Callithrix jacchus: one gene and its partner. The protein of the gene in region 1 purifies or fractionates together with the protein of each later gene. This does not show direct contact. Links are inferred from orthologs where the notes say so. Each region holds a gene or a part of one and is shown on either strand. Other genes may lie near its edges.

Region 1 (3,823 bases):
AAACCCTCTTGTTACATGTGGTTTCTGGTAGACATCCCTTACCATTTTCTGCACTATTCAATTGTATTTCATCTATTTTAAGCTGGTAAGAATAAAAGTGCAATTCATTATTTTATCCTAATATTTATTTTAAGTAACTTCATGATAATTGGCTCAGTATCCACTTGTCTTATGTTGCTATTATATCTTACATTTTAAGGTTTATTCTGTTAAGAGAAAAGTCTTTTTCTTTTACCATGTGGCCTCCTATATTACTTCCTCTGGCTATTAGACTACTTTAGGATATCCTCTCCTTCCCTGTATCCTGCTCTACACATCTATAAAGTTTTGGGGCCCAAAGTTGTGACTTGAGTTCTGTTTCCTCACTCAAAAATTTGTTTTTTTGTATTTCTTATTTACCAGGCACAAAGCCTAAGACCTAAGGTCAGGCGTCAGGCAACTGCCAGAAAAAATATTTGCTCGAAAGACCCAATGAGAGTGATGGTACTAAATGCAACAAAGATATTTAAATATGAATCCTCAGAAAAAAATCGAAGAAGAATGTTTCATGCTACAGTGGTTACGCAGACAGAGTTCTTTCATGTGAAGGTTTTAAACATCAACTTGAAGAGGAAATTCACTAAAAAGAGAATCATCATTATATCAAATTATTTTAAATATAATAGTCTCCTAGAGGTGAATGAAGCCTCTTCTGTATCTGAAGCTGGTCCTGAGCAAACGTTTCAGGTTCCAAAGGATGTCATCAGAAGAGCAAGGAAAACTCCGAAGATCAATATTCTTCACAAACAAGCTTCAGGAGACATTGTGTATGGATTATTTACACTACATAAAGTAAGGCATCAAAGCTGTTTTGTTGCATTTTCTACAAAAACACTTGAAATTAAGAGCCCTGATGTACTAAATGGAACTTTGCATATTTACTTAACATTAGAACTCAGGGCTCTATCAAAATGACTGACAATTAGATAGTCTTCTTCAAGGTTAAGACCAAGATTAGGAAACCCATTAATGTTCTGCTTCCAATGTTTTTCTTTCCAAAATGTCACCCTGATGTTCTTTAGTAAAGCATTCACCGAGAAACCATGAGACTTCATCAGCTATGACTATTCTGAGCCATAACAATCAAGAATAGTGAGGGATCTAGCATAATACTAAATTTATTTCTTTGATTATAATCTCAGTTGTAGCAAAAATCATATTACTTTCATTTTGAATGAAGTATTGTCCTTTGAGGCTTGAGTTCCAGTTTTGACAGTCAGGGCAACAAATGAATTGACTGTTCATACCTGGAAATCAAATGCCGAAAATGGGTAGGACAATGTTCAGACCAAAGGAAACCCATTCATCAAAAAGTATTGAACAACTGAGAAATAGAATTCGGGTGATACTTGGAAAGTTAGGTAATCTGTACTTGAATATTAGACACGTCATGTCACCGAAAACAAAAAGAGCAGAATAATTTTTCTAATATGTTACTGTCAAAATTCATAAAACTAGTTAGCATGAGAGATTCCATCTCAGAAAACCATCTATACCTGGCTATTGATTCCAATAATTTCTTAGATGACCGACAGCTCACAACCCATTATATTTATTTTCTAGAACAATCTTTTATTTTACCAGCATTGCTTTCTGCACACACTCTTAAATTATTCTTAGAAATACATATCTAGGCTGGGCATGGTGGCTCACACCTGTAATCCAAGCACTTTGGAGGCCAAGGTGGGTGGATCACCTGAGGTCAGGAGTTCAAGACCAGCCTGACCAACATGGTGAAACCCTGTCTTTAAAAAAAAAAATTTTTAAGAGGAAAAAAAAAAGTAATACATATCTAGAATGACAGGTAATAGTCTTGATGAGCAAGAGATTGGAACATTTGAGCTTAAAGACCTGAGATCAGATGGGAGCAGACGTTGAAAGAGATTCAGTACATAGAGAAAGTCAAAAGAGTAATTAGATAGTTAATAGAAGCTTGCTTTTTATTGTAGATTCCTCATAACATGGTGAATGATGAGTTGTAACAGATGCTTATTCTTTCTGCATAGGGGTAGAGGCCAAATAACCCTACCAGAGTTCAGGTTCCTTAGTATCAAGGTGCTTTGGGAAGCATAGTTGTCCTGGAAATGAAAAAAGTTGAAATTGAGAAGATAACCCTTTGCTCTAGAACTGTCATAGAAATACTTAGAACATTACAGAAAAGAGTATCAAGGGAGAGCTCTGGGAGATGGTCTAAACTAAGGCACATGTACTGTATGTTCATACTGTACTAGGAGTTGATGTCTTGCATCTTGTTTTAATCTGTTACAAAAGACTTTCCATTATGTAAGGTGGTTACTATGTCCTCACCAACATGATATTAATTTTTTGTTGCAGAAAACTGTAAAGAGGAAGGTGACAATCTATGAAATTCTGGATAAAACAGGGAGTATGGATGTAGTTGGAAAAGGAGAATGTCACAATATCCCCTGTGAAAAAGGAGATAAGCTTCAACTCTTCTGCTTTCGACTGAGAATGCGGAAAGATGTGTTACAACTGATGTCAGAAACGCATAGTTTCATCCAGATGAGAAATAGAGACAGAAATGTTAGTTTTCCAAAGATAAAAATCATTCGCTTTAAGTTTTCGGAAATCATATTTCTGTTGTTTTACACTTAAAATTCTGCAGAGTACATGAGAAACCAAATGACGCCCTTGCACTTACATTTAAATAGAGAAAACAGGCCGGGCGCGGTGGCTCACGCCTGTAATCCCAGCACTTTGGGAGGCCGAGGCGGGTGGATCACGAGGTCAAGAGATCGAGACCATCCTGGTCAACATGGTGAAACCCCGTCTCTACTAAAGATACAAAAAATTAACTGGGCATGGTGGCGCGTGCCTGTAATCCCAGCTACTCAGGAGGCTGAGGCAGGAGAATTGCCTGAACCCAGGAGGCGGAGGTTGTGGTGAGCCGAGATCGCGCCATTGCACTCCAGCCTGCGTAACAAGAGCGAAACTCCGTCTCAAAAAATAAATAAATAAATAAATAAATAGAGAAAATTTTTAAAATCTATTGAGAGAATAACATTCATTATTGACTTCAAAAGAACATGAAACTTGTGCTAAATATTAAAATATTGGAAGAAATTAGGAAGGCACAGGCCTAATTTAATTAGTGATCAAAAGCAAGTTTTTTGCAGTGAGATAGGGTTGGTATATACCTTGCTCATTAGTTGTATGATATTGGAGAAATAGCTTAAATGTTCCTCCTGAGATTGATTTGAAAATTAAATGAGATCACGGATATATGGTTCATATCCCATTACCTTCCTTGCACATTATGACAAATCAGTGTGCACTAGATACTACTGCTGTTAACAAGGTAAAGACAGACATTGGAAAGATTTCAGGCAGAAAAAATGTGGCATACAAATATTAAAAGTGAGAAACAGCATAGTGAGTTCTGTACGACTTTGGAATATGTGGAAATGTGTCAGAAACTCACGCAAGACAGGTGACAAGCAGCCCTCTTCTCATCTGTCTTATGCCATAAAGAAAAAAATGAAGTTCGTTTTTTAAAAATAAGTAAATAAAGATTTTATTTTACTAAGAATGTTAGAACATTTTACATTTTAGCATAGAAATATGTTGGCAGTTGTCTAGAGGAGTACATCAGATAGAGGCAATGTTTAGAGGTAATGACATCTATTAGAATGGAATAAAGGATGATATTCTCAGATATTTAAAGATGGTGTACTTTCTCTGATATTAAAAAACACTAAACAAAAAAAAATGAATGCTTTCAGATATGTAAGAAAATAAAGCAGAGAAGCATTGACTCCCACAG
Region 2 (3,626 bases), on another chromosome or scaffold:
TCCCAGGGAGAATACAGTTGCCAGGCAGCAGGAGTGTTCTCCAGAGCCAGCTCCAAGGAGTTAATTGGTGTGTTTTCTTCTTTCTAGAAACTGGTAGTTAACCTTACTTGGGCATAATACATTGTGAGTGCAGGTGCGTGCTTCCTGAAAGCTTCCTATAAGCCTAGCGGGTAATCTTGTCTCTCCCTTTTCTTCCCTTTCAGCTGATAGCTCTGACAACTCTGATTTGGAAGATGACATCATCTTATCTCTGAATGAGTGAGGAGCCATCACTACTTGGAAGAGATTCTTGGCAGGCGAGAAACTGAGTCAAATGAATTCAGAACATATTCCCTTCCCTTTCTCTCAGGGCTGTCTTTTAAGGAACTGCATGCCCTGCATTCAGAGGATTATGACTTAGAAAGTCTCAGTGGCACCTGAGAGTCCTTCCAGAAACAATAACAATCACAAAAATAACAACAGGGACTAGGCCCTCCTCTGTACCCGCCCCCCCATTTCCTAGGATGGACACATCTTTCAAGGGGAAAAAAACATGTCTCTGGGGTATTTCACAATATATTTTCTTTGTATAATGTTCTTTACTTAAAGAACAAGAAATAGTTTTTTATAAAACTTTAAAAAGGAAAAAAAAAAAACACAGGCATTTATAACTGAGGGTATGAACTTATATCCACCAGGTCTCTTGTCCCTACACTTCATTTTCTTTGGAAGAAAATGATGTCTAAAGAACAATATAGAGGCATTTTTACATACGTATTTAAATGAAAAAGGAAAATCGTGGTTTCTTAAATTGATAAGGATTAAGAATATTTTATTATAAATATAATATATGATTTTTTAACCTGTTTTGTTGCCTCATATGCTGTCTGGTTAATTTGTTTTCCTTCGTGCCAGAGGTGGGAACGAAGGCTCTTTATCTGCTGAGTATGCCTGAATTCACCCACCTTCATGGTTTGGGGGCAGCATGGTCATTGTGGATATTGGTTTTGTGGAGTTGAGGGAACTTAAGATACAAGTTCACTCCCTCTATTTTTCTTTGTGATTCAGTTTTTCAAAAAGCTTTTTTTCTTCCCTTTCTCCCCAATGTGGAAATTATAAATCAAAGGCCTTTTTCTTTAATGTAAAGTGTATTTATTTTAAAAAAATACAAAATAAACTACAAGTCTGTCTTTGTTTATGGTCTTTCCCTATTTTCTTTTACCCAAGGGGTGTGTCCCTTTTTTGCAGATCTAGTGAGGCCATAAGGAAGATACCTTCCAGGAGAGGCAGATCAGGATGGTGGGAGAGCATGTTCTGCCTACAGAGACCACTCCAGGGAGGAAAGTAGCTTTGTCACAGTGTCTGCTCCTGTCCTGTAGCTCTCTCACAGGGAGGACCTGTCTTTGTAAGGGTAATGTGGAGAGAGGAGAGCTCAGGGCCTTGGCCACTGTTGTCACAGCTCTCTATCCTTATGTTCTGGATCCAGCAGGCTGCTCCCAAGTATAGATTTGGTGGAGCTGGAACGGGAGGTGTTCTGGGAAGTTTTGGAGGAAGGAGCTGCAAAGCTAAAGAGTGAAAGCATTTCGGCCGTCTGTGTAGCTGGGGCGACGGCCACTAATGGTTTCTGAAAGGGACTGTGACAGTAGACTTGAGCAGTCCTGGCAAGTTAGGGGTAGTGGGAATTGGTCTGTGTTTGTAGAAAGATACTTCAGAGGCCCCTAAAATTGGCCTGTGGTTAAACTGTGTAACCACCAGGCAGAGTACCAGCGGCTTCAACCTTACCGCTTACCCACCCCACCCTGTTTTCCTTCCCACAATAAATATAAGACCATAGTCTCTTTTTTCCTTTGATTTTGCCCAAATAACAGCTGCTCAGTTTCTGTTACGTAGATATTATCCAGCTAAAGTGATGTTTCTCCCTTAACAGAGAGAAGAGGGGACAAATGTGGTTGTGAAGTAAACAAGAAACACAAGATGGCTAAAACTCTCCAGGGGCAGGTAAAGCCCTACTGGGCTCAGAAGCACTGTAGAATATGCTGTACACACTGAGTGGGTCTGTGTCACACAGGTATTTCTTAATCCTCTGGAGAGCAGAGGACTTGGCTCTTTTGCTTCATGCCTTGATTTAATGGTAGTTAACACACCAGTGGAATAGTCTGACTGTTGGTACTGACTGCATCAGAAAACAGGTTAACAACCAAGAAGTAGTGAAAGCACTATATTCTAGTCATTAACTCAGTGGAGCCAGTCTCAACTCTGCTGGGAGCACCCACAGTTCTCTAAGAGGGAGATGGGGACTATAGTAGGGTGGCAGAATTCGGGTTGGCTTGACAACATACCCTTAGGAACATGCCCTAAGGGGCTAAGGAAGCATCAGCCCTCTTCCTCATTCTACCAGGCCTGAAAGTCACCTAGGAGGCAGCACAAGAACAGTGGCACACCACCAGTGAGGCACATTTTGCCTTCTTGTCTTTAAGCAACACCTTAGACAGGACCCAAAGGGCACTGGATGCCTGAAGTAAGAGTTTTCTCATTAGGGCAGGGCATTGACCACCTGAGCTCCCCTTACTAGTACTGGCCAAGGCCTTTCTGAGAGTTCACAGAACCTGCTAGATCTTAAGAACCAAAGGAAGGAAGTGGTTGACCAGGAAAGAGAGGGAAGGTCATGCTAGGGTGTTACTCCTCACCAAAACTTGACAGTTCTTTTTGGGGCCATGGGGCACCTTTCTCTGAAGAGGGGTGGACAAGGCAAAGGTTGAAGTGTCTTCTCCAGGCACGTTTTCTAGCATGTTTCCTTTACTTGGTTCTGTCTCAGAAAGCTGGGAGATAGATTCCGGGTCCTGAGCACCTCCTCCATGAAGGAAGATAGGTAGCCCAGAGAAGTTCTGGACTCACATACCAAGGCAGCTCTGGCCTGTGACTCAGGCTGAAGATCTGCAGGAAAAACCCTGCAGTGTGCCTTCAACAAGACAAGACCCACTCCTGTTTCGGCAGTACCAGCTATCCTGGAATGGTGGCGTGTCCTGCTGTACCTTGCAGCTGTGACCACAGCTCAAAAACAGGCAAATAAATAAGCATGTTTAACATGTCCTTGTGTTGCTGTTTTGTCATCAATGTGCTTTTTCTCTCGTGAGGCACTTTCCTGTCCATTCATCACCCAGGTGTCTACGAGAGCACTGCCAAGTGTTCCTGTGGACTAGCGTGGCCTCTCCACAACCTACACTGAGCCCCAGCCTCTGCACAAGCACCTGCCTCAAATCTCAGCTGTCACTTATGCTGCCTCATCCCAGCTTGGGTAAGAGACCAGACCTGGAGAGGATGCCACGGCCAGCAGAACCCAGAGTTCCTGGTTATCTGGGTGCTCATTCGCTTACCAGAGCTTCCGTTTGCCTCAGCCCTGACAATGATCCCTGTTGGAACATCCAAGCTGCCACACTGACACTCTGAAGAATGGCATTTGGGGTGTTCTATGGTGACAACTGTGTGCTCTGGTTTTCCTCCCCAGCCTGCACTGTCTGTACTACCTTACTGAAACAATGAAGGCAGAATCTCACCCTCCCAGCTAGGGGGTATCTCCTCGTCCCTTTCCTCCCCACCTGGCTTGAGTGGCTTCAAGAGCTCGCACTACCCAACACCTCAGTGACTTG

The links.
Region 2: the proteins of PYHIN1 (region 1) and DCAF1 purify together in Homo sapiens (affinity purification with mass spectrometry; 3 studies listed by BioGRID and IntAct, counting the BioPlex papers as one, with this or other methods). This does not show direct contact. The link is inferred for Callithrix jacchus from reciprocal best matches to the Homo sapiens genes PYHIN1 and DCAF1.

Annotation. Positions count from the first base shown.
Region 1 is NC_133519.1:18,961,144-18,964,966, forward strand, and holds part of PYHIN1 (pyrin and HIN domain-containing protein 1), read left to right. Parts: intron 1-402; coding exon 403-831; intron 832-2,373; coding exon 2,374-2,583; intron 2,584-3,782; coding exon 3,783-3,823. UniProt on the Homo sapiens protein: Major mediator of the tumor suppressor activity of IFN in breast cancer cells. Promotes ubiquitination and subsequent degradation of MDM2, which leads to p53/TP53 stabilization.
Region 2 is NC_133516.1:33,972,730-33,976,355, reverse strand, and holds the end of DCAF1 (DDB1- and CUL4-associated factor 1), read left to right. Parts: intron 1-203; coding exon 204-258; coding exon of another isoform or gene 259-262; exon of another isoform or gene 263-1,175; intron 1,176-1,206; coding exon 1,207-1,319; exon of another isoform or gene 1,320-1,334; intron 1,335-1,906; coding exon 1,907-1,977; intron 1,978-2,794; coding exon of another isoform or gene 2,795-2,798; coding exon 2,799-2,852; 3' UTR 2,853-3,069; downstream 3,070-3,626. UniProt on the Homo sapiens protein: Acts both as a substrate recognition component of E3 ubiquitin-protein ligase complexes and as an atypical serine/threonine-protein kinase, playing key roles in various processes such as cell cycle, telomerase regulation and histone modification.